Drosophila melanogaster: one gene and its partners. The protein of the gene in region 3 interacts with the protein of the main gene of each other region in a pairwise test. Each region holds a gene or a part of one and is shown on either strand. Other genes may lie near its edges. The genes, in order: vir-1, CG15728, Nnf1a and CG6664.

Region 1 (5,811 bases), on a different chromosome or scaffold from region 3:
CAGACACAAAATGTTAATTATCTCACTATATATCATACAATTTAACCAAAACATTTGTATGGGCTCGAAAATTAACTTCAATTTGCATAACAAAATATCCGTCTAAATTAAACAAATTGCCCGTCTATTCAGCGGCAAATGCCAACAATGAAAAATACATGTAATAATTCACCAATAATTTTCATAATTGTTTTGAGTTTTATTACTCCACACATAGTTCCACGTACGAGCAGCAGAAATTCGAAAAAGGAAAAAAAAAAGTGATTTATGTGAACATGCAATTGCAATTTGTTCTGGGGCAGAGAAAGACATTCCCTGGAAAAAGTTCTTAAAAGCGAATTATGGCCACAATTAACCCAATTCTTTTGGCCATGGGACACTGACATGAAGCGATCTCATAAAAAACCAAATTAAGAAAAATAAGAAAACAAAACAAGCGAAGAAAAGTGCTCAAGAATTTCACTTGCAATCAGCCAGAGAAATTGGGATGACTTGAGTGTATAATATGACAGTTCATTCAACCGATTCCGAGTTTGTTGAAGAATGTAACAATATTAATTTAAATTTGAAATATATAATCCAGAATAGATTAGCCTGCAGATAAATCCAGTATATCCACAATTATCGTGATTTAATTGGTTACGTAAATTATTTTAATTGGATATGATTCTATTCTCAGCATGTTCAGATCGCAAATCATTAATAATTAAATAGAGAAAACAAATGTTTAAACAGTACTAATCTGACTTATATGCACAGTAGTTAGAGTAGCTACTATGTGTATTTTGAAATATGTAATAAAAAACATTGTCTCATCAATTTACGAAATATTTCATTGCAATTTCAAGCACTCATTGCTAAGATGATTCTCAAGCAAGATTTGCCGAAAAATTGTGATTCACGAGTGTTGCATAAAATTTGTATATTCCTGGCAAATGATTTGGACAGCAACGAATTTGACAACTTCAAGTGGCTGTGGCAGCTGCCAACCCGCTGCCACGCCCACTCCCACCATTCCGCCCATCTGTGGGGGTATCTGCGATTCGCTGGCAGCTTCTTCAGCAATTTATGCATTCAAGTGGCAGCCAAAGGCAGCGAACAGCAAACGCTGATGATGACAATAAAGGACGCTGGATCTGCGATGCTGCGCCGAGCATTCCTGATATTTTGCCATTTGTAGTTACTTGTGTTGTATCTGTAAGATGCATTTGGCTGATTGTCAAGTGCCACGCTTTGTTATCAGCATGCTGACATCATTATCCGGCAAAGGCAGCGACTTTAAACTTTAATCTGCTGCAGAGTGGAATTAAAACATTTTTTCATATCCAACAGATTGTATTTACTAATAATTACGTATTATATGCATAATAATTTATTTATATTGCTCCAAGTCACAATTACATCGAGGTAATCTTTAAGATTCTACCAGAATATTCCAGATCAAGAAGGTATAAGAGGAACGTACTACGTAGAAGAGTGCAAATCAGAATTCCCGGTGCTTATCAATTTTCTTTGTTTTTAAAGTCAAAAGGTTGACTGTGTTTTTTAATAACTAATTATGTGCACATAAAAATGAGAAAGTAAAGAGAAGGAAAACAAATATGTATGTTGCATATGTGTACAAATTGCATATTAGTTAGTTCCGTTATACGTATTACTTAGGGCAAGTTAACATTTAGTTTTCAAGTATTAATCATTTAAATGTTAATTTATGAAGTGCATCATGATTGGATTGCTTTTAAGCCTTTCACTTACCTGGCAATGTGAAAACGCCGCTAAGGGCTAGCACGGTCATCAGCAAACCGAACAAGAGCTTCATTTTTGTTTGGTTTTTTTTTTTTCACAAGCTTATAATTTGTTTAATTTGTATAGTTTATTTAGGGCTGAAAGCTTTGATGCGTTGATGTGGACCGGCAACCGGATTCGATTCTGTTCAGTTTTGTTCTGTGCGGAAAGACAAACAATCGTCAAATGCGCTTAAATGATTTGAGGAAGCGGCAAATAAACGGCGGCCGGCTGAGTGAGTGAGCGAGTGAGAAACCGAGTGAGTGACTAGCTGACCGCTCTCTTGCTCTCCCTCTCACTCAATTAGCCGCTGGGCTTATAAATATTCCAAATGGCAGGCGGCAAGTGTTGTGGGAAGAGCGCTACACTGTGCCCGTCAACTGGGTACAATATTTGGGGACTCCACTGTGTACAGAATGCAGCGTATTAGTAATGTTCTTAGGCACATTTAAGTTAACTTTTATTTTCGTTACACCTTTTTGTTTCCGTTATAGCTTACTGGTTCATTAACTATTGTATCTACTACTATAAAAAATATAATATAATATAACTTTATCTTTATAATTATATATATATAAAAGCAGTTCTAAAAGGGCATTTGCTACTAATATTTTAAAATTTCGATTAAAAGGGTGTTTGAAAGTCGCCGTTGCTCATTGAACCTTTTGTAAATTTAGTTGTGTTTTCAATTTACTTAATCAGTTTTTGTCTATGCTTCGTTAGCTGCACGCGGGCTTCTCTATTCCACTATATTTGTATTTCAGACTTTAAATGTGTCCCTGTCACAGTTGCTGAATGTTTCAGTCGCCCCATTCGTATTTCAATTCCACTTCGATTGCATTGTATGGAACTATGTCTATTCAACGGCTGCTCGAATCACCTGTTAAATGCGCTTGGTGTTTAGTTCAAGGTTGTTGTTTCTGTAAACAAAAGCATCATTTGCTTATTTCCCTAATGGGCAGCTATTGAGAATTTTCTTCCAAGGAAATGAAAACGGAGCTAAAGACTATTCTCAGTAATTAAATGGTTATGATAGAGTGCTTCTTTTTAATTCCATCGATAAAGTAGTCACGCCTTGATTGAGCCGGGTTTAATCACGATTTTACTAACGAATATGCCAAAGATCGGCAATTTATTGGAAATCTTTAGTTAATCCGATTATGAATGATCTTTTTGACCCGAGAGAACTTACGATATAACACCCAATTACAGTTCTGATAAATATAAAAAGCCGTAAAGAATTTGTATAATTATACACTGATTTAAATCTAGAATGTATTATAATCTCAAAATGAACTGGAATTTTTGCACATCAGAAAATTATTTAAATATCTTGCCCGACAGTAAATTTTTCAAGGTCTTCAAAATTAGCAACTATAAACTTTAAATAGCATTTTTAATGTCTGATAGTTTTAGAAAGCTATTGTTTATGTTGGGCTCAGCATAAAAGTGAGCACAAGTAAATATTTCGCAAACAGCTGCGTGAAGTAAATTAGGCATCCAAATTATTGCCCAGACAGCCTAAACAAGCTGCAAATTGTTTGTTTGTAAACATTTTTGTCAGCGCCGAAGCGGAAATTGTTCACGCACACAATTTCATTCACATACACATGCCGACAACCGCGAATTTGCATAAATTTTATTATTGTTACCGGTGTCATACAGTTATTTCTGTGGATCGCTTGAATCACTCGATTTCGAAAGATCGGAGAAGAACGCGCGATCTTCAACGTGCGTTGGCTTTAATGAAACGTTTCGGACTAAACGGTTGCGTACGATTTTGGCTTCATTTATACCAGCTCACGTCGTTGGCACTCAAAAAAAAACAAAGAATTGAGAAGAGAGACCGGGAAAGGGAGGAATGCGCAGAGAAGAATACGAGAGCGAAGAAGGGTCTTCCGAGTGCTCCAAATGTGCATTCAACAATGTTTTAATTAAAAAAAAAAAAGAAAAATAACTAAAGAACTTTCAATTTTATATTTTTACAACAGATCCACTACCAAAGATGCCCCATCCTGTTTACCCAAAAAGTAGCAGAAATTTTACAAAAAGAATATTCATTGACACGTCAGTGGGAGCAAAAATGAATGTCGCCAGCGGAACGCGAATGTCCTCCAGTGCAGTCCCTTGACCAAAACCGTTGGAGTTCGAGGTGTATGTATAAAAATCAGAAATTCAAAGCGGATGGCCGACAGCGCCGAGAAAGAGGCGGGGATATAGTTAGCGACAAGGAACGCGCGCCAAGCTACGTTCTTGGATTGACAATGAAGTCCACCTGCCCCCTTTTACCTGAACTTGCCTCTTGGGAGCCGTGTTGCTTTATGGTTTTCGACCAGATTGAAATCGCGATCGGCGCAGCTACAGCTGTTAAAATCTCCTGCAGGCTGCTCTTCATGCTCTACAACTTGTAATTCTTGTCGTGGTCCCACGAACCGGATTCTGTTTTAACTACACTTTCGTTGGTTTTATTCGAACTGCTATTTTCGTTTTACTAAATACAGGTTTGATTGCACTATGCCTTTAAGTGGCAGAGGAGCATTTAAAATAAATTACCATTTTCGGTTAATCGTTGACACAACATTCTTGCGGTCGAGTCAATAAATTCCCCAAAAAACAAGATTTGGTTGTCAAGGCTTCGAAGTGAGAAGAATTTGAGTCAGCTTAGTCCTACATATATTTAAGTGAGTAAAGCTTGGCTTTTAGGACCAACGATATTTTAAAATATCAGATTGACTTGTTTTTAAATAAACTATTTACAATGCTATGATCTTCAGGTAAATATCGTAGTATATTTTCTATTTTTTTATATATACTAATTATATATATTTTTCTTTATCATTTGCAGTCTCTTAATTAGTCATAAATCTTTCGAATTTAAATTTAGACACCGGATGACAGACAGAAACACTCACAGATTATAACGAAACGTGCTCTTGACCTTGACACTGTTGGAAAAAAATGAAGTACCCATATTCAGATATTTATTTTAGGATTGAATATTTTTAGAATGTTTTAAATTTCCTTGATAAACTTTATTCTTGCGCCATCTATGTACTTGCAGAAGACGCTGATACTAGCGCCACCTGGCAGCAGTAGGTTCTTAACATTTCTGTTAATTTTACAGAGCTGGAAATATGCTGGCTGTTCGAACGAGAGTTGCCAGATGAATTTAGACGTTGCCTTGGTAACGGTTTTCACTTGATTTTATTGTCGAAATAAAATAAATAAAGAAGGAAAACAAATATAAGGGACTAAAATAAAATAATAATGTTTCGTCGTGGAAAACTATCCTTTCTAAACACCAAAGATGACCGTGTTAAAATAATAAACGAGCGCATAAACATAACAGAAAGGCATCTAATGGAGATGTGCTCTTCGTTTGCTTTGGTAACGCGGAAAATGGCCAAGTGAGTTTGGTAAATAAATAAATCTGAATGAATAATCATAAGACCTTGCAGATATCGGGACTCCTTTGATGAGTTGGCCAAGAGTGTGAAGAGCTACGCCGACGACGAGGAAATCAACGAGAGTCTCTGTCAGGGACTGAAGAGCTTCACCAACGCGGTTACCATAATGGGTGATTACATGGACATCAATGTACACCGATTGGAACACAAGGTGAATTATCCTTTTTTAAATCTGCATCTTATATCATATTATTGACTTATGTAGATTGTCAACGAGTTGGCGCAATTCGAGCAGCTTTGCAAGTCCACAAGGGACAATCTTCGACTGGCTGTCATAGCGCGGGATAAGGAGGTACTACGTCAGCGCCAGATGCTTGAGCTCAAGTCAAAGTTTTCTGCGAACAATGTGGGTATTAAAACGAACAATTTACTTCTTATATAATTCCCAAAACTTACCGTAGAGTGCCGCCGATTCGGAGCTGTTTAAGGCCAAAATGGAGGTGCAGCGCACAAACAAGGAGATAGACGACATTATTGGCAACTTCGAGCAGCGGAAGTTGCGCGACTTAAAGCAGATAATCAGCGATTTTATACTGATCGCCATGAAACAGCACACCAA
Region 2 (7,445 bases), on a different chromosome or scaffold from region 3:
TTGGCCAGGCGTGGCAATTGGCAGTCCAGTGGAGCAGGCCGCTCATCGTTGGCACCGCAACGGAACAGGGACATGCTGGACACCCTGCCCAGCGACACCGACGATGTGGAGCAATTGGGCCTGGATGGTGCACCCATCGATGAGAATGCCCGTGCCCAGTTACGAGCTGGCGATTTCCAGCAGCTGGCCCAGTTTCCCAGCCTCGGTGGCGGCCACTTCACCTTTGGGTCAGAGCGCGAATGGGCCAACGTGGCCGAGGGCCAGACCAAGCTACACACCAAGGCTGCCAGTGCTTACTTCACCCTGAACCTCACCCGCCTAAATGTGGGTCTGCAAACGATTCCGTTATACAAGCGTATGGATTATCCGGCGTCTTTGTTCACCCGCGCTCAGATTGCCGCCCAAGAGAAGGCCGCCGAACGGGCTGAGGCAGTTTACCAGCAGTGCATTCTGAAGGACGCCAATGGGGGCGCCAAGTCGCGAGCTCCCTCTGCTAAGTCCAATAAGGACGTTGCCCCTGCAGCGGCGGAAAAACCAATTGCTGCCTCAGCAGCTGAACCTGATGAACTTGACGAGCTATTGGCCATGACCGATACGCAACTGGATATAGGCTCTGGAACCATTACGATGCCAATGCCTATGGTGCAGCCGGCCACACCCTCATCGGCAGCAAGCAAAAACGGTGTGGAGGAATGGCTGGATTCCGTTTTGGATGAATAGTTACATAGTTCAGGAGGACTATTACCAGAGCTTTTTACGCTTACACGAAATATTCAAATCACTAAGTGCTTGCATTTTTAGAAGTAGCATCATTAAAATTGCAAAATCTAGAGTTTTCCTCGTAACTTTATAGTTAAAGCTAGAGCCTTTTTATTGTGTATAATAAAATCGTTGATTGCATATATATACGATGCGATTGTTTCTTGAAATAAGTTTCAAAGGTTAGGTTAAGTTATTGAAGATTTCAATTCTCTTCTCATCAAAGTATCTGAATTTATAACAGATTTCTTTGTTTCCGTTCGCTATTACTTACATTGTGGTCCACTTTTGCCTTGGTAACACTTAACCAAATGGCCATGCAAGAGCTGCATAAGCTCACATATGGACTCCAAAAGCACCAGGCGCTCATGCAGATGCCCCAAATCGTTGTTCTCCACCATCAGCGGACGCAGCTCATCAACGATCGCGATTAGCCAGCGAACTAATATCGAACAATCGTCCCTGGCCAGTTTCATATAATCCTCCGGCACATCGGTCTCCTGGCACAGTTGCTGGCCCTGGGCATTGAATGGTCCGATCAGCAGGATGCTGGATATCAAACGGACCACCAGGTGCAGGGAATGCAAATAGGATATTACATAAATATGCGGCTTCACCACGGCAACGACGAGCAGCAGTGTGTTAGCCGGACGCAATCGGTGCAAGTCCAGGCCCAAGTCCGACATATGATCCAACATGGCCCAGAGCAGACAGTTAGCCACAACGCTGGCCATTGTGCACAGCGGACTGGCCACGCGGCAGCCGAGGATCAGGTTGAGCATTGTGCTCGAACTCTGGATATCCAAGAGACCCAGGACATGGACGCATACCTGGTGGATCTGTTGGGCAAAGAAAGGGAAGGATCAAAAAATATATATTTCAAACATATATATGCTTACTCACATGGCTTTCCTCGGAGCATGCCATATAATTGAAGCACTTTTGCAGGAAAAGAGTTCTTTTCACCTGGGTGGCCGACGTGTCCTCATGATGGAGTAGATAAACCATCAAACCGCATACATACACCGCAGCCAGTTTATCTGCTCCGAATTGGATCCCCTCCTGGTTGAGCAGTTCATCAAAACCAGATATAATCTAACGGAACATGTGAATAAATTAGATAATGTGATTATGATATGAATATGGATCACCTCCAGAATATTGCCGGTGGCATAAATAAAGTAGCATTGTTCCCGAATCGCCGATCGACTCATAGTCTGACGCAGCTCTTCCAAACTGAATCCCTGGGGTCGCACCATGTGGCTCATGTTGTATTCTGCCATTTTATCTGAGGAAAAAGCTGGAAAAAGGGAGTTATGCATTACTTTTGAACAGGGAAAAGGCGCCTTCAAGGATTTGCTGCTGCTTCACCTTCTCCTCCTCCTTCTACAAATTAGTGACTGAAAGATATGATGTGTGCAAATAGCCAACGCTATTTTAATGAGCTCCACAACATTTTGACATGTTTTTCAAACACACTTGGCTGCCATCTTGGCCAAGCCGAGTACAGTGAAATCAGCAAGTGGGTACTTTTAATTGAAAAGTCTAGGAATTAACTATGAAGCTTTTGATTTGAATTCATGAACCTTGAACCTATGTACATCTTCCATGATTTAAAATTAATTTTTTGTAATAATATATTAAAATATTATAATTATATAGTTATGTTCATTTTTAGACAAAATACACTTTTGTGTTGAACTTCTAGTTGAATCGCATAAAATTGAAGGACTTAGAGGAGTCGCTGCTATCGGACGCTTACTGTAGTTATGATTTTTCCTGCCTGTGTGTGTGCCCGCCTTTGTTTGTGTGTATTTGTGCTTGTCCTTGCACTGCTTTCGAAAAGGCTGGCAAAATGCAAATGCACGCGCGATGTGCGCATTTTAGCATAAAAGTCACCTGGCCTCCGTTTCCGACTCCCACTTTTCCACCTGCCACGCCCATCGCCGCTTCAAGTTTCTTGCACACTTGGCGAATATCTGCTCATTATGCATTCATATTTCATATTTCGCAATTACTTGCTTTCACACACACACACACGCACGCAAACGAACTGGCGGTAAAAAGCGCAAGAGGTGCAAGCAAGATGGCCATAACAGCAGGAAACCGTTAAGTTTCTGTGTGTGTGTGTGTGTTTGTGCGTCCTTTGCTTGGTCTTTTCTTTCTGCTCTTCTGCTTTTTTATCGCCCCCTTTATTTTTTTGGGGCATTTTTTGCACAGATTCCTATTGAAATTTCCATATTCACATTTTAATTATGCGTCGGCATGAAAAGATTAACAACTTTTTTGCAATCTCTCTGTGTGTGTGTGTGTGTGTGTTATGCTCTCCTTTTTGTTTTTAATTATGCACATGTATTTGTTGATCAAATTTAAATGGCAAAGGGGTAGGCAACATATAACCCTCTCTTTCTGAACTGCTTGCAAACATAACCTCAATTTAGCTGCCACTGCTTGCGAAGCGATTGTATGCTAATCAACTGGGAACATCTATAGCATAATATGATCTATTATATCAGCGTCCAGCTAAAAATCTACGTCAAGTGTAAAAACCCAAGAATCCCCCTCTATTAAACGCAACAAAAGTGCTCAATTAGCGAGGGTTGTTCAGCAAGTTGAACGGGAAACGCAGACCAGGCCAATTACAGTCAAACATCCGTAAGTGGAAAAGATGCTTACATTTTTATTTTACTACAAGATTGAAAAGATGTTTACATTTTCCATTTGAGTATTTTTGCTCATCATAAGAAAAATTTTACTGTAGTTATTTATCTTACTTAAAAAAAAAAATGACAAGACTGGTATTATTATTTATGGAACCATCATTTGGAGGTTCAACTGTGCTAATAGATACTAACAATCATATCCGGTTCCCGTCGGATGGCGATGATAATAATAATCAAGATGGTGATGACAAGTGGCAAGTAGCTACCCTTTAATTTTTGAGGGTGGACCGAACTGATGAGCCGCTTGTGTGCGCTGTTTGTTGTAACCAATCTGTGCATTTTACGCCTAATTTAAGGCAAATTGTCCACCCCACTTGTCTCAACACTTTTGCAACCGAAAACCCTCCCCCATCCAACTAACTTTTTCATTTTTCGGTCTTCGAGGCCGCGGGGCCTGACAAAAGCCAACAGATTTTCATGTCATTATTTACTGATTTGTGGCATTTGAAAGGGAATCGGTTTTCGGGCTTAGGATTTGCGTTCTGTAACCACCCAGCGAACTTTTTGTTTACTAATGAAGTTGTTGTTTACACAATTGGAAAGTATGATGTATGTATACAAATGATAGCCACAGTGCAAGTGGAATCCAAACCGTTCCACCCACCAATTATCACGAAATGTCATCTGAGAATTAGCCACTTTTGCAAGACGCGACATAAGAAATCGAATAGACCCTTGCAAAGAAAATAAGTCTAATATTTCTGTCGGCCCTGATGATACTAAGCGAATTTCTTTCGGTAAGGTAAACATATTGATTTTCTATTAATTATATGCGTTGTGTAACTAGAAACAGTTTTAAAGAATTTGCAAGATGGGGGTAATGAAGAAAAAGTGCCCAAGTAATAAAGAATTTCATGTTTTACAGAGTTTCCTGTATGTATGTATATGTAAGTGCTGTGGCCAACTTTAACCTTTATTTAAACAGCTTAGGACTATTTTTGACCTTAAGATCAATATGCTCTAATAACTATATCATTAGCAATAAAAAAAAGATATACATAAATTTCCAAATATATAGATATAGATAGTTCTAGGAGCTTAGGAGCGTGAAAGAGAGTGATGACCTGGAAATTGCACCAAAGAAAAACTCAAAAAAGAAAGCTTTGGGATCTTTTTGATCAGTGCCAGAAGTTCAAGCGAATCCTTGAGATCAATATGCTCCTGGTGGGCACAAGCGAGAATGCTTTGAGATTCACTATATCATTAGCAATCAAACGAAAAGATACAAAAATTCTAAAATATCTAGATGCAGTTCGAGGAGCTCAGGAGTCTCATAAAGTTCATCCCCATGGATGGGGATCTCAAAGTTTATATACAAAAGGGGCAGGAATCGTAATGAATGTAATTAAAACTGGACATACCTGTACGTTTTGTATGAAATGTTTAGCTTGGCGGAAGAATACTTCACTTGTACAATGAAATTACTTCTCACTTCCTCGTCAATTATTAGCAAATTATCAAGGAGCTCACTAATATTTCAATGGGTATCTTTTTTATTCCGCTGACCACTATTCGCTTTTGCAACAAATTGCAACTGATCGATGGAAAGCCATAGTCAGTGGCTTTCCCTTAGCCATGGACTCTTAGCCAGAGGCAACCTGTATGGCTCAGTCGGGGTTCGAGGCTGAGACTGTGAGACGATTCGATTCGATTCGATCCGATTCGATTCAATCCACAGGTTCGATGGCCGCACAATGGGACACAATGCGGCAATTAGGCATAAAGATGCCAGATTTGAAATAAGCAAGTGTGGCACGGCCCGCGGCACAAACACAATTTCGGACGATTTTCCAAGCGGATAATGACAAACATTTTTAATCACAAAAACGAGACGAGAAACCACCACCGCCAATTGCAGTGGACGGGGGAAAACACAAATTTTCACACAATATGGCAAACATCTCGCAGCCATCCTCCAACCGGAAGTCAAGTGTGTCGAGTCCTTTTGCCCTGCCCATCCATGATGACATAATCGCCCCTCAACACAATCATTATGTCGAGAATTGCTGTTGCGGTTTCTCCGAACTTCACTTCTATTTTTTTTCCTTTATTTTTATATACATGCATATATATATATTTTTGTTTCTGCCCCGCGGATGGGCCACAGCAGGCTGGAATTTAAATTGAAATTGGTATATAATGGCAGGGAGTAACTGACAGTTCCTCCCCTGTGAGTAAAGTGAGTACATTCATGGCCAAAGTCAAGTGCCTTCTGTGGTAACTTTATTATTTTACAATACTTATGCGGCCCAAAACAATCATTACTTTAACAAGTCCAATTTGTTTAGATCTCAAGAATATTTATGTTGTATTTCTGACACCTTGCTATTTATTTACTTATTTATATATATATATATAATATAATTTTATGTTACGTGGGCTGCTTACCATTTTAAATGTATGAAGTAACAGAGGCAACAAATGTAAGATGGAAAGATGGAATTTGGAATTTGGAAATATAATTTAGATTTAGATTTGCTAATAGTTTTGGCTAGTCTTGAAGTTCTCGCGCCTCTTTAGTCGGCCAAACCCAAATTCATAATCACAGGCAAAAGTGCGCAGAAAAGTATGCTACACTTTTGGCACTAGCATTTTCTGTTGTTTTTTTTTCAAAGCTGCAAATTGTACGAACTCTTTAGTTTCGTAGTTTTCAGCCTGAATGCGAGCAAAAGCCGAAAAACTTTTCCCCACTCTCCCGGCTTTATTCCTTTTTTTTTTTAGTTGCAAAGTTCTCCAACGCCGAGAGCTTAATGCAATTAATAACTCATTAAATAAATACAAATCAAATTGAATGATGGCCAGCTCAAAGGAGAAGGGCTGGTGGAGCAGGAGGTGCCTTTGTGCTCAAAGGATGGCTGCGTAAAATGTACCAATTAAAAATGCCATTCAAATCTCAATGGCTGCGCAAATGAACCGCATGAATGTGAGAATTTGCGGTATCAAAAAAAAAAAAAAAAAACGCGAAGGAAACCGGTGAAAGAATCATCCATCATCTATCTGTATCTGCAAGTGGCTGGCATGATGGGGGTTAGCAGATGCATTTTATTCATTAGATTACATTCACATTTCATAGACGATTTCATGGCAACGTTAACTTGCTTGCCATCCCATTCGCCTTTGCCTTTCATTCGCATTTCAGCCATTTTTCCCGCATTTTTTCGCATTGCCCGCCTCGCTTCTTTGGCTTTTCCGTTTTGTTTCCGGTGGCTCCCATCAAGTATCTTTTTAATTAGCGTTCTGTGCCGCTCTGCACCACTTGAAAACTACTACCCGTTCCACGTCGTCTGCCCCTATATCATCATGCCATATCCTCGTTGGGTTGGCTTGGGTTGGGTTGGCGTTAGCTGGTGTCCTATGGTATGGCATACACTATGGCATGGTTATACTATATCCATCTAGACCTCTCTCTCGCTCGTTAACTCACTCACCGCAGATTCAATTTGTGGCTAAACATTTCTCCTCCTTTTTGTGTAGCGAGCTAAATGGGCATGAAAATATAACTGTAGCTACAGACGATCCTCGATGGAAAGAACTGAATAAGCAAAATAATTCTTATATATCTACGCTAGTTAATTTTTTTTTTTTAATATTTTTTCATAGTATTTGTCTGCCCATATGATGGTACAGTGTGGAAGCTACACTCATTTCGAGACAGAACTAGTTGCGAATTATAAGAGATCTTCACACTCAGTTATTGAAATAAGTCATCTGCAAAATATATGCATACGCTCTTGTTGTTGTTTGTTGCATTCTCCTTCATATATCACATTGCATGATTGTTGCATGCTCTATGTTGTATATCTGTTTCTTATCGAAATGTCCTTAGATGTAGGTTTCTTTTCAGTTTGTGCTAGGGAATCCCTACTGTATATGACGGTGCTATCGCATCCTCGTTTGCCAGGACGCACTGCTGCCATCTCTTTCTGTCGCACGCCCCCGCTCATGCGCTCTCTGCGCTCCGTT
Region 3 (4,191 bases):
TGCCAATTTTGTAAAACAAACAAAAACAAGCATAAATATCACATTTTGTCTTTTCTAAAAATAATTAAAATTGGGTTTTCTAATTTTTTAAAACACTCAAATATAAGCATAACAGACTTTTTCCTATTTTGAGATTATGGCAAATTTGCTTAAATATCACATATTTGTCTTTTTTTTTTTGATTCCGTACACTTAGGTGTTAGTTTTCTAAAAATATATTAAGTATGTTACACAGATTTTGTAAAACACCTAAAATATGCAAAACGGACCTAAATAATTTTAGAAAAAACCAAGTTGAGTGGCGATTTCTAATGCAAAACCAAAACTTTCCAAACTACAACTTTAATAGGACGTTAAAATATGTATTAATAGGTGTAGTTGGGAAAAGCCTGAAACTGCAGTGATAGTTTTGATATCCTACGCAGGTAACTTTCTCGAAGTACTTAGTACCAGAAACGTGTACTTTACATAAACATAAAAAATAACACTTTGCTGATACCAGGCACTTGGGAAAATCATGTCTAGATTTGTCAACATTTTAAATGGCTTACCAAGAGATGTAAGCTCCTTCTCCGTCGACGGTCAAATCGAAAAGAACGGACTGCTGAATTCCATTGAACTCGAAATCTTTGTGACAGTGCTAGAAGATGACCTTTGAAATCAAGTGGGAATGGGCCGCACTCAAACTCACATATGCAATAAGTGTGTTTCTTTGTGTGTGCGAAAGCGCTCAATTTCAATAATACACACATCACATAACCTCACTTTAAAGAGTCAATGTCCTTATTGCCTTAAAATATAACTGAAAATCTGTATAATGAGTGCAGTCTCACAAGGGAAATTAAAACGAATCTTTTAAAAAACATCTTTAAATGTATATTATTAGTTACTTTTTGAGGAAGATCTAGCAAAAATTCGGTTCTTTTTTACACTAATACCATTCCTTTGATTTATACTACGCAATCAAGTATGTATGTATGGGAGTGTGTAAGCACACAGCGATTCTAAGAAATCACTCAAAAAACACATGCATACATACATAAGTTTACACATGTTTAGCTAAAAACTTCGTACTATTTATCGTATTCTTTATAGAGATAACTTGAAATGTATGTATATACATTCAATTTTAAAAGATTTTTTGTCGCCAATACAAACAATTGCTCGTTAATATTATGAGCTTATTGCAATGATACGAATTTAAATAAATTGTGAATGTCAATGACAAATGCATGTGTACATACATATGTATGTACATTAATGAATATGCAGATTAGTTTGTATGAATTTCCATTTTAAGACCCCCCACTCAAATCATTAAGCTCATAGCGTAGTATTTTATTTATTTATTGCATTTAAGTTTGTCAGAAGTCGTTCAATGCTTCGCCTAGTTTAATAAGTTCTGTCTTAACTTTCTCGTACTGCGACAATTGCTGCTCCATTTGGACAGTCAATTTCAGGCGCTTGTCATGGACATGTTGGAGTCGCTCGCGATTGGCATTGCTCTTGGCCATAGCAATCTGTAATTGAAATATAAACAAATGTTAGTTATACTGATAGAATAACAAACCTAGATATGTACATATGTATATGCAAATGATAAACTATAGAAATGAAATTATTAAACTAAAAATCTTCTCGAAGGTTCTTTAACTTTAGGGATCTTTTGGTACACTCAAAACAGTGCAGTAATAGTACAAAGATTAACTAATATCCAAATCGCACCTCAAGTTCTTTTGCCTGAGAGGCCAGTTGCTGCTCCATGAATTCCACGCTGAAGTCCAAAAATCGCATGCGCAGCGGCCGAGTGAGTTTATCGGGTGCTGCAGTGTTCACGTTCCTATAGATTACAATAGAGTAGAGTAGAGTTAGCAATGCAATCGAATCGTATTATGTTTTATGCTGCACATGTACCATTTCTTGCCCTCGTAGGCAGCGAAATGTTCCTTGAGCATTTCCAAAGTTTGCAACTTATTTGGCACATCGTTGCTGGCGAAAAAGCATCGGTTCATTTCGAGCACAACCTTGGTCATCAGACTGCGAGTGCGATCTACGATGCTTTCGGTGTCCAGAGCGGATTGCTCGTGCTCCTGGTAAATGGCATCCCACGCTTGCAGATCTGCGCAGCTAGATATTAACGATTTTTAATATTCGTTATCATGTTAACTATGCCTGCTGCTTACCTCAAGTCGGCAAAGATTTGTTTAATGGCTTCCTCGTAGGCCTGTTTCACCTTTGGTCCCACACCCTCGTGGCGTTTAAATGCGGCTTCCGAATCCTCCATTGAAATAATTTGTTAGTAAATTCAAATTGTAAACAAAACAAAACAATGCCACATTGGTGTGACCAGTTGCAAGTTTCTGCAAAACACCAGGCCGATAGAAATTATAGAGTATGGTGACAACCCTGTTATTGGTTTTTTTTTGAGGTATTTCCACTAGCTCTTATTACTCATAAGTCCCTTGTAACATAAGTGATGTTGAAAATATAAATATATTTCATTCAGCGGTATGGTGAGAATATGTGCCTTTTACATTACAATGTCAAACAAAATGAATAAATACCACCGAACAGTATTTTTAAGAATAAGTGTTAAACCACCGTTTTCAACCATCATATATCGATAGTCCAGGTATCGATGACAGGGTGATACGCCATTTTCCAATTCCTCTCTAACTTTTGTGCATTTTAACTCAGCTCTAGTGTGTTTGTGCTATACATATTTTGAATAATATTTTACCAGCCAGTGTTTAGTGGCGGACAAAATCGTGTTGAATACCAATTGAAAGTTAAGTGATTAAGTTCGGTGGCATCAAAGTCTTCGTAGCTGAAGGAAAACAAAGGCATCCCGATAGGTGAGTTTTTCTTCTACAGTTTTTTTTTATCTTTTGCCTGGGGAAACGCGAATGAAAAGCGAATTTGCGAGGCAAATAAACCAGGCTAAAAGCAATGTGTGTGTGTGTTGTGTGGTCTTGTGTTTTCCTGAATACATTTCTAAGAAAAAGATTCGCCAATACATGCCGATTTTTTATAGCAATATAGTGTGATTTTTAACTACACCCCCAAAATCGTTCTTTTGGCTTCGGCGCTTGAGTTTTACAGTTTTTCTTCCTTTCATTTTATTACAACCACCAGGGCACACAGAAATATTCCTAGCTCTCTCTCGCTCTGCCGCCCTGTTCTCTCTGCCTCTCTCGCTTGCTCGCACGCATGCCGGCTTTTACTTAAAGTACAGAGTCGCATAGTTGTTGTTTTTATAATTGGCCCATCGCTTTAGTCGCTTGTTTTGTTTTTCACATTTGCTGTTTTTTCTTTTCTTTTCGTTTCGTTGCTTCCCTTTTTCTTTTATCTCCACGCGGTTACACCGGTGCATAAATTTCATTATAATTCGCTGAGATAAAATCAAAACAAAATAGTTTCGTTGTTCCGAAAGCAAAACTCCCACGCTACAAGACGAGTTCAACGCTCGTTGGCTTTTTACAAATAAGGAAAAGGCCTAACCTATATTTTATTCATAGTTTTTAGCATCAATCGATGAGGTACGTAGAAAACGGAGAGGCAGAGGAAATGGCGAAGAGAGGCTAATGAGAGAGAAAAATACAAATGGAAGCTAACTGTTGTTGTTTCGCTTGTTGGTTGGGTGCAGCTTATTACCACCTACTTGCCTCCCCCCTCTCTTCATTGCTCCTCTTCTTTTCTCTTTGCCCCCCTCCCCCTCATTAACCCATTGGCATTTGCAGCTTTTTAACAACAGCTCTCTTCTTCTTCCGTCTGCAAATCTTCTCAGCAATTCTGCAACTTTTGCTTTTCGTTCTTTGGCGATTGTGACGAATCTCCTTTGTCTCTGTTTAGATTTCCAGTTTTGCGAAAAAATTCGCTTTTATTTGCCTTTTTTGGCCGAGGTATTTTTCGTTTGTTTCTAGCGTTTATTTCGAGTGAAGCAATTCCAAAGATATTTCGCGGCTATTTGCACGCGTTCGTTGACATTGAACTGAATTCTCACGTAAATGTGTTGAGTTCCAAATTGGTCAGCAAACAAATTGTAAATAGTATTGCTTAAAAATTTAAATATATATTATATTAACAAATCAATAGGCATGACTTGTTGAAAATCTCAGTTGTTTGCTCAATTCTTTTTACAAAATTTCTATGACACCAAATTTGACTTGTAAGATATTTCAGAGACACACC
Region 4 (6,778 bases), on a different chromosome or scaffold from region 3:
CAGCTCGGCCTTGGTGAGATTTTCCTCCTCTACGCGGGTCAGTTTGCGCTTGGGTGCTGAAGAATCCTCAGGCTTGGAATTCTCTTCTTCCGATTCTCCACCATCTTCTGCTTTGGGTTTACCGCTGTGCTGCTCGCCCGTCTCTAAATCCTCAAAGTCTCCGTACACTTCGCTTTCTGCGTCACTCATGTCGTCCATCTTTAGTAGATTTTCAGCATCCTCGCTGGCCTTCCATTTGCCGGTAACGAAGCAGTTCTTGATAAGTTCCTTGTTGTCTTCCGCCAGCCAATCCCGAGTGGCATCTTAAATTTAAAACAAGTGTAAATAGATTGACAATTCTTAGAAAAATATATTTAACTTACCACCCTGATACTCGAAGAAACACCGCTCGTCTTTATCCCTAATGTCCTGGTCTGATTGCTTCAGGCTTTGTTTTTTAGCAGCCACCCGGAACAGACCACCTAGTTCTTCTTCTGAGTCGTCTTCTGCTTCTGCCTCCTGACGACTATGTTCACTCTGATTATACACACCGTAGACAAGGCGCATCAGGTTTTTCGACTCCGAGTGACGTTGGAGAAAAGCATCGCGGGCCTTCTGGGCCAGATTAGTTTTCCAGCTCATGTTGCTGGCCAGGACGCGAGCCTCCTCATCGTCCGAATCGGATTCGTTGGATGTTTTCACATTTCCCAGGCTTTGATATTCCTCATCGCCAGAAGAAGCGTCTTCCTCAGCATCCTCCTCCTCCTCACTGTTCTCCCCACGCCAATCGTCCGCATCGAACTCATCCTGCTGCTCCTCCTCACTGTCAGCGGCATCCAGACCAGAGTCCTCTCCATCGTCATCCTCATTCTCACTACTTTCCGCCTCTTCATCCTCCTCTTCGTCGTCTTGATCATTGCGGAAGTCCTTGGACTTGATGGGCTTGGCATCTGAGAATAGACGGAACTCCTGCTGTTCCATCTGTTCATCAATGGTGGCCTTCTTATCGATCAGCTTGTTCACCAGCTCCGCCTGCTCGGCAGCCTCAGCGGTCTGCTCCTGTTCCTTGTGCGAGTGCGATCCCTGTAGCTCAATGTAGACAGCATCCTTGTCGTAAACAATGCCACCGACTCCGGACATGGGTGCATACAGTAATCGCTCTTTCTCCAGCAAACTTCGCTTCTTTTCCGTCCCAGGCAGGGGGCAAGGATCGGGAATGACGTTTAACTCGTCGATGCGGGCATCCCCCAGGCCAGCTATGTGCACCATGTGTTCTTGCTTGAGAGGAACTCCTCGGACATAGCCATAGAGTACTACCTCGCGATCGCACTTAGGATCTCGGCGCACGCGATCTGTGTTTGTCACATCCTCGATGCGGTCTACCAGCAGATAACTATGTGCACCTCGCCACTGCAGCGGGCGAAACTTCATCACAGAGATAAATCGTCCCAGGTTTTTGACTTCGTTCCGGAGGTACTCGCCGTGAAGAAGTCCAGAAAGGTAGAATAGCTTGGCGCCATCGTAGACTTCCGTCCAAAAGCGGTGCTTCAGTTCCTTCTTTCGTTTCCTCAGCTGCTTGGGGTTCTTGATCATGTCCAGGTGGGTAAGTACGCCCATTATCTTGGGCATGCCGTGCACCTGGCAGATGTTCAGGAACTCAAAGATCTCCATTTCGAAGCCGTAGCTTGCGTCGCAGAGCAGCAGCACCAGATCGGCGCATTTGGCCACATCGATCATGGAGTTCACATCGTTGTTGCACTCCAGCAGGGTAATCCGGCGCTTCTTGGAGGTCACAATAGTAATGGGACCCTTTATATCGGTGACATTCGTCCGCGTAAAGCTTTTAATTAGGTCCTTGATCAGCGTTGTCTTTCCCACTTTGGGTGGTCCCACCACGGCAATCAGTACGGGTGGCGGTACGTTCGGAGTTTGATCGACAACCGGAATATGCTGCTTCTTGGCCGTAAGGTCCTCCTTGCGCCGGAAGTTCCTCTCTGCTCGCTGCGCCGAGTTGATGGCGAACGCCTTGGGATTCCTCTGCCTGGCGGTCAACTCGGGCTCCTTCTGGTTGGAGTCCTTCTTGGCCTTCAGCTTTTTCTTGTCCGCCTTCACGCCGGACTGGCGGGCGCGGTGCTGCTTTCGCTTGTCCTGGCCGGCATCGTCGGCCATTGTTACAGCCTTTAAATATATTAAATTATTAAATTATCCGCTGTTTGCGCGCTGCACGTGGAGCCAGTGTTGCCAGATTATGAAACAGCCCCAAATCAATTGGTTTCATCCAGCCCTGAATACATATCGTAAATAAATAGTACGATAGACTGACTATATTTTGTTTGTTGCGGCCTACGAAATCTATTGAGTAAAGTAATGGTTTTGAACGTATTATTTATTTCAGCATATGTTATACGCTACTAGGAATCATAAGCACTTTGTTTGTAACACGTATAAGCGTAACCAAAATCGCAATCGTCAAACTCATGAAAAATGGTATACAAATCAGAAACGTTTAAAACACAAATTAAGAAATAATTTATTTAGTAATGACCGTTTTTAAGTAAAATGTCAAATAATACACATTTCGACTTCCACCTTACAACGACAAGAAAGAAACTTACAAAATTAACGTATCTGTCTATTTTCTGATATATTTTGATAAAATTGTAATACAATTTTTGAATAGCATAATTGTATTGTTTTCCACCTCTACTGGTATTTCCTCAAGTGTCATCACTACCTCGCGGCGTTTCGCTGTGAGCGCTTTTTCGGTATTTCGCCACATATACGGTCACACTTCTGCACTGTGGATTTTTCGCAATTTGACTTTAATTTTATTCGATCGGATCGGGCAAAATGTACCGCACTCAGATCTGCAGGCCCTAAGCAGACGCCTAAGGTTCAACTCTACTCCGTTCGCAGCTGCATCCTTTCACCTGCGCAGGTGAAACGCAAGAACGGCAACCAGAGCCCTGGTGAAACAGAGTCGGCGAAGGAGTGTTCAAGAGGGGGGAGGAGCAGTGCGGCGGAAGGCAAAAGTCTTTTAAGGCGAAACAGCGCACAAAAGCCAGGTAACCAAAGATAGAATCTGGAAAATCGGACATTTTCAGCCGGTTGAAAGGGGGAGGCGTAATCCCACATGTGAGTTGGAAGTCACTGGCAGTGGTGGGCTGTGGGTGGTGGTGGTGGCGATGGCGATGGCCTGCCAGCCTGTGCAAACCCTTCCTTCGCCGACCTTGCCCTTCTATCGATTTCCGAAAAATTGCATCAAGCCAGATGCACAGAAAATCACAGCTGAAGGTTAAACTTTTGCATCGGATCAGGGCCAAAACCAAACACCACCACCGACCGATTTCTTTATTCTTTGTTCCTCACGGGGCGCAGACGAATTCAAGAATAAAGAACAGCCAGTCGCCACATATATATGTACTCATGCACATATGTATAATATATATGTGCTTAAAAAGCGACTGGCATACATTATTTCTCGTCATACATATATGTATATGCTCAAAAAACGTAATGGCACTGGGCCATTTACCTTTAGTTTTGCAGGCATGGAAAGTCCCTGTGAATCCGAAAGTTCGCTGGACGGTGGCACCATGCTGCCACCAAGCCCAGTTTCCCGGGAGCAACTCCAGAAGAGGATCGAATCGCTCACCCAGCAGAACAAGTAAGTCAGACACTATTTTTAAAATGCATTTTTACCACAAATAATATGACTCTACGCTTCTAGGGTGCTGAAAGCCGAACTGGATACCTTCAAGACCAAGTGCAAAGTGGTGCAAGAGGAGAATCGCTGCCTCAAGCAAGCCTCAGTCATCATTGTTAGTACTACTTTTATGTTATATCAAATTGAAATTGAGTTTCACAAAAGTTGCCTCAATTTACCTTTGTTTACTTTCACAGCAAGCCAAAGCCGAGCAGGAGGAAGAATACATCTCAAACACGCTGCTAAAAAAGATTCAGGCCCTCAAAAAGGAGAAGGAGACTCTGGCGCACCACTACGAGCGCGAGGAGGAGTGTCTGACCAACGATCTCTCCCGGAAGCTCGACCAGCTGCGTCAGGAGAAGTGCAAGCTGGAGCAGACACTTGAGCAGGAGCAGGAGTGCCTCGTCAACAAGCTTATGCGCAAGATTGAGAAGCTCCAGGCGGAGACGGACAACAAGCAGACCAATCTCGAGCAGCTGCGCCGCGAAATGGTCGAGTTGGAGAACACGCTTGAGCAGGAACAGGAAGCTCTTGTAAACAAGCTGTGGAAGCGCATGGACAAGCTGGAGACCGAGAAGCGTTCGCTGCAAATCAAGCTGGATCAGCCGGTTTCCGATCCGACTACGCCGCGAGACATCACAAACAACGCCCATGCCAATGGTGGCGATACGGCCACCAGTTTGAGTGCTCATATCCAGATTCTGCGCTCCGAAGTGCTTCGCTATCGCTCCGACCTGGCGAGCGCTCAGAAGGAAGCCACTATCAAAACACAGCAGTATGCGCAGGAAGAGAAGTCGATTCGCGAGGAAAACGCTCGCCTTCAGCGCAAGCTAAAGCAGGAGGTGGAGCGCCGCGAAGCCCTATGCCGGCACCTCTCCGAATCGGAATCCTCGCTGGAGATGGACGAGGAACGCTTCTACAACGAGAACCTGATGGGAGGCGGTTCGTTCGCTGTAGCGACGGCAGCAGCCGCCGCCGCAGCTTCAGCGGTGAGCGCCCAACGTCAACGCACCATCAGCAGTCCCGTCTCCCACAGTCCCTCGAGTAGCCGACCTCTAAGTCCGGGCACGGCGGTGCAAAACCGCTGCTATGCCTGCGGCCAGCTAGTGGTGAGTACGATATTGTGAAATGTTGCTTTCCAGATTTGTAAAATTAAAAATTCTTCGTTTCAGAATCGTCGTGCCAGCGAACGCTTCATAAAGCCAGCACTGCCAACGCCCATGCTGGGCCTGAACACTTCCGCACCGAACGTGCTGACCTCAACCAACCCACTGCTGGGCATTTTGGGAACCGGCAGCTCCTCATCGTCCGCGTCCGTATCAGCTGGGAATGCCGCTGGCGGCTTTCTCTCGAATCTGGGAGGCGAACGCCTAAGCCTTGGCTCGTCAAATTCGGCTGGCGGCAGTGCCACCTTCTTGGCCGGCGGTGGAGGTGGAGGTCTGCTGGCCCAGCTCACTAGCCACTCCAGCGCTTCGTCGTCGTCGTCCAATTTGATGAACATCAGCCTGAACAACTCGTCCAGCGGCAATCTTGTTAACAGCAGCAGCAACTCCTCACTGTCGGCGTTTACGCCAACCAATCCGCCCAGCTCGGCGGCCACGGCCTTTATCCAGCCAGCCAGTCCAATGGACACGTCCACCTGCAAGGACTAGGAGGATGCAGTAGCTCTCGCACAGGGATACAGAAAAATCATGACTTATTCACACACTTTCACACGAAAACACACTATATTCATAAACACGCACGCATGCAAGCAACCAGTTTAACGATCCTAAAAACATAAGAAAACACAGAAACAAAAGATGAGAAAGTAACTATCGTAAGCTTCTCCAGGGCGACTCAAAGTCGCCACATTTATATATGGTTAATATGTATATGTATGTTCTATTTGATCAAAATCTCTTAAAACCTTTCAATAACGGAATTCCTAGGCGAACGAATATTTAGCGCTAATGTTTAAGATTTGAATGTTTTTCTAATTTCGCTCGGTTCCAGTTAAAGTTAAGTAAAACACAGCTAATAATGAGATATGGAGGATATAGAGGATGAGAATGAGGATGGACAGCACACGCTAACCAGATCGTATGAATTTATAAAAAGGGTGAATTCTATTCATGTCGAAACCATTTTCCCACAATTCCTTCGCATGTGGGCCTAAAAAATTTTGAAGTATGTTTATGTAAGCCAACAAAAATAAAGTTCAACAATTTAAAATTAAATAAAAATTCGTCCAGAATTTTTTTAAATTAAATTTTGTTTAAATTCGAGGTGCAAGGTTTTCAAAATTGTAGAAAGTACAACTGTAGACACTACAATATATGAATTGTAAACATCATCTGATAGGTTTTTTTAAAATATGTTTTCAGAAATAACATTTTTTTCTTTTGACGAACCACAAGAACAAGAATTTTCGAATTTCCGTTAAATGCACGACAAATGGTGGGGCAACACTTAAAGTATCCCCTAAAACTGCCTTCATACTTCTGCCACTTGGCGTGCACACACTGGCGCGCAGCTGCAGCTAACTTCGCGTTGCAAAATGCTCTTGTGTTGTTTGTGTTTGTGATTGTAAATAAAGGCCAAACAGTCAGCGCGAAGCGTTAAGACCAAAGACTAACCTTTGGGCCAGGCCAAAAAGCGGAGTGTAACACCTCGAGCGAGAGCAAACAAAGCCGCAAAGTGTTCAATTAAAATAAGTGACTTGACTTTGATCTGAGAACCGAGAGAAAGACGGTGAAATAGGTGGGCAGGAAGTGGGAAGTCAATGATAAATGACAACAAAAAAGTGTGTATTGGCCAAAAGAAGCTCGCATTGGTAGCAACGACAGAAAACCATTTACACACACTCAAACAAACAAACACAGATGGTGCTCTTTAAACGCTGCTGCCGCTCTCCCTCTCTTTCACTCACACACATTTAACGACTGCGACGCGTCTCTTGCAAACTTTTTAAAGCGGACGCCAGCGATATTCGGTTCTCATTTCGATGTGGAACGGTAAAGAACCTGTGTCGCTTCCGCAGCCGATTCGCGAAAATAACACAAAAATAGCCATATATTATTTTTGCTCAATCAAATAAATTCCACTGCAAGT

The links.
Region 1: the proteins of Nnf1a (region 3) and vir-1 interact in a two-hybrid assay, tested with the Drosophila melanogaster proteins (one large-scale study listed by BioGRID).
Region 2: the proteins of Nnf1a (region 3) and CG15728 interact in a two-hybrid assay, tested with the Drosophila melanogaster proteins (one large-scale study listed by BioGRID).
Region 4: the proteins of Nnf1a (region 3) and CG6664 interact in a two-hybrid assay, tested with the Drosophila melanogaster proteins (one large-scale study listed by BioGRID).

The regions. Positions count from the first base shown.
Region 1 is NT_033779.5:12,419,886-12,425,696, forward strand, and holds the start of vir-1 (virus-induced RNA 1), read right to left. Parts: upstream 3,555-5,811; 5' UTR 3,438-3,554; intron 1,978-3,437; exon of another isoform or gene 1,945-1,977; 5' UTR 1,820-1,944; coding exon 1,756-1,819; intron 1-1,755. Other genes in the region: Fam92, read left to right, coding at 5,053-5,192, 5,244-5,403, 5,458-5,598, 5,654-5,811.
Region 2 is NC_004354.4:12,621,830-12,629,274, reverse strand, and holds CG15728 (uncharacterized protein), read right to left. Parts: upstream 4,984-7,445; 5' UTR 4,844-4,983; intron 2,183-4,843; exon of another isoform or gene 2,131-2,182; intron 2,060-2,130; 5' UTR 2,043-2,059; coding exon 1,911-2,042; intron 1,855-1,910; coding exon 1,663-1,854; intron 1,599-1,662; coding exon 1,026-1,598; 3' UTR 830-1,025; downstream 1-829. Other genes in the region: Aven (apoptosis and caspase activation inhibitor), read left to right, coding at 1-720.
Region 3 is NT_033778.4:20,584,890-20,589,080, forward strand, and holds Nnf1a (Nnf1a), read right to left. Parts: upstream 2,350-4,191; 5' UTR 2,285-2,349; coding exon 2,184-2,284; intron 2,128-2,183; coding exon 1,915-2,127; intron 1,841-1,914; coding exon 1,726-1,840; intron 1,521-1,725; coding exon 1,365-1,520; 3' UTR 1,333-1,364; downstream 1-1,332.
Region 4 is NT_037436.4:17,012,009-17,018,786, reverse strand, and holds CG6664 (uncharacterized protein), read left to right. Parts: upstream 1-2,606; 5' UTR 2,607-3,044; exon of another isoform or gene 3,045-3,114; intron 3,115-3,520; exon of another isoform or gene 3,521-3,528; 5' UTR 3,529-3,530; coding exon 3,531-3,646; intron 3,647-3,709; coding exon 3,710-3,800; intron 3,801-3,882; coding exon 3,883-4,794; intron 4,795-4,857; coding exon 4,858-5,337; 3' UTR 5,338-5,901; downstream 5,902-6,778. Other genes in the region: CG7728 (uncharacterized protein), read right to left, coding at 1-302, 363-2,148.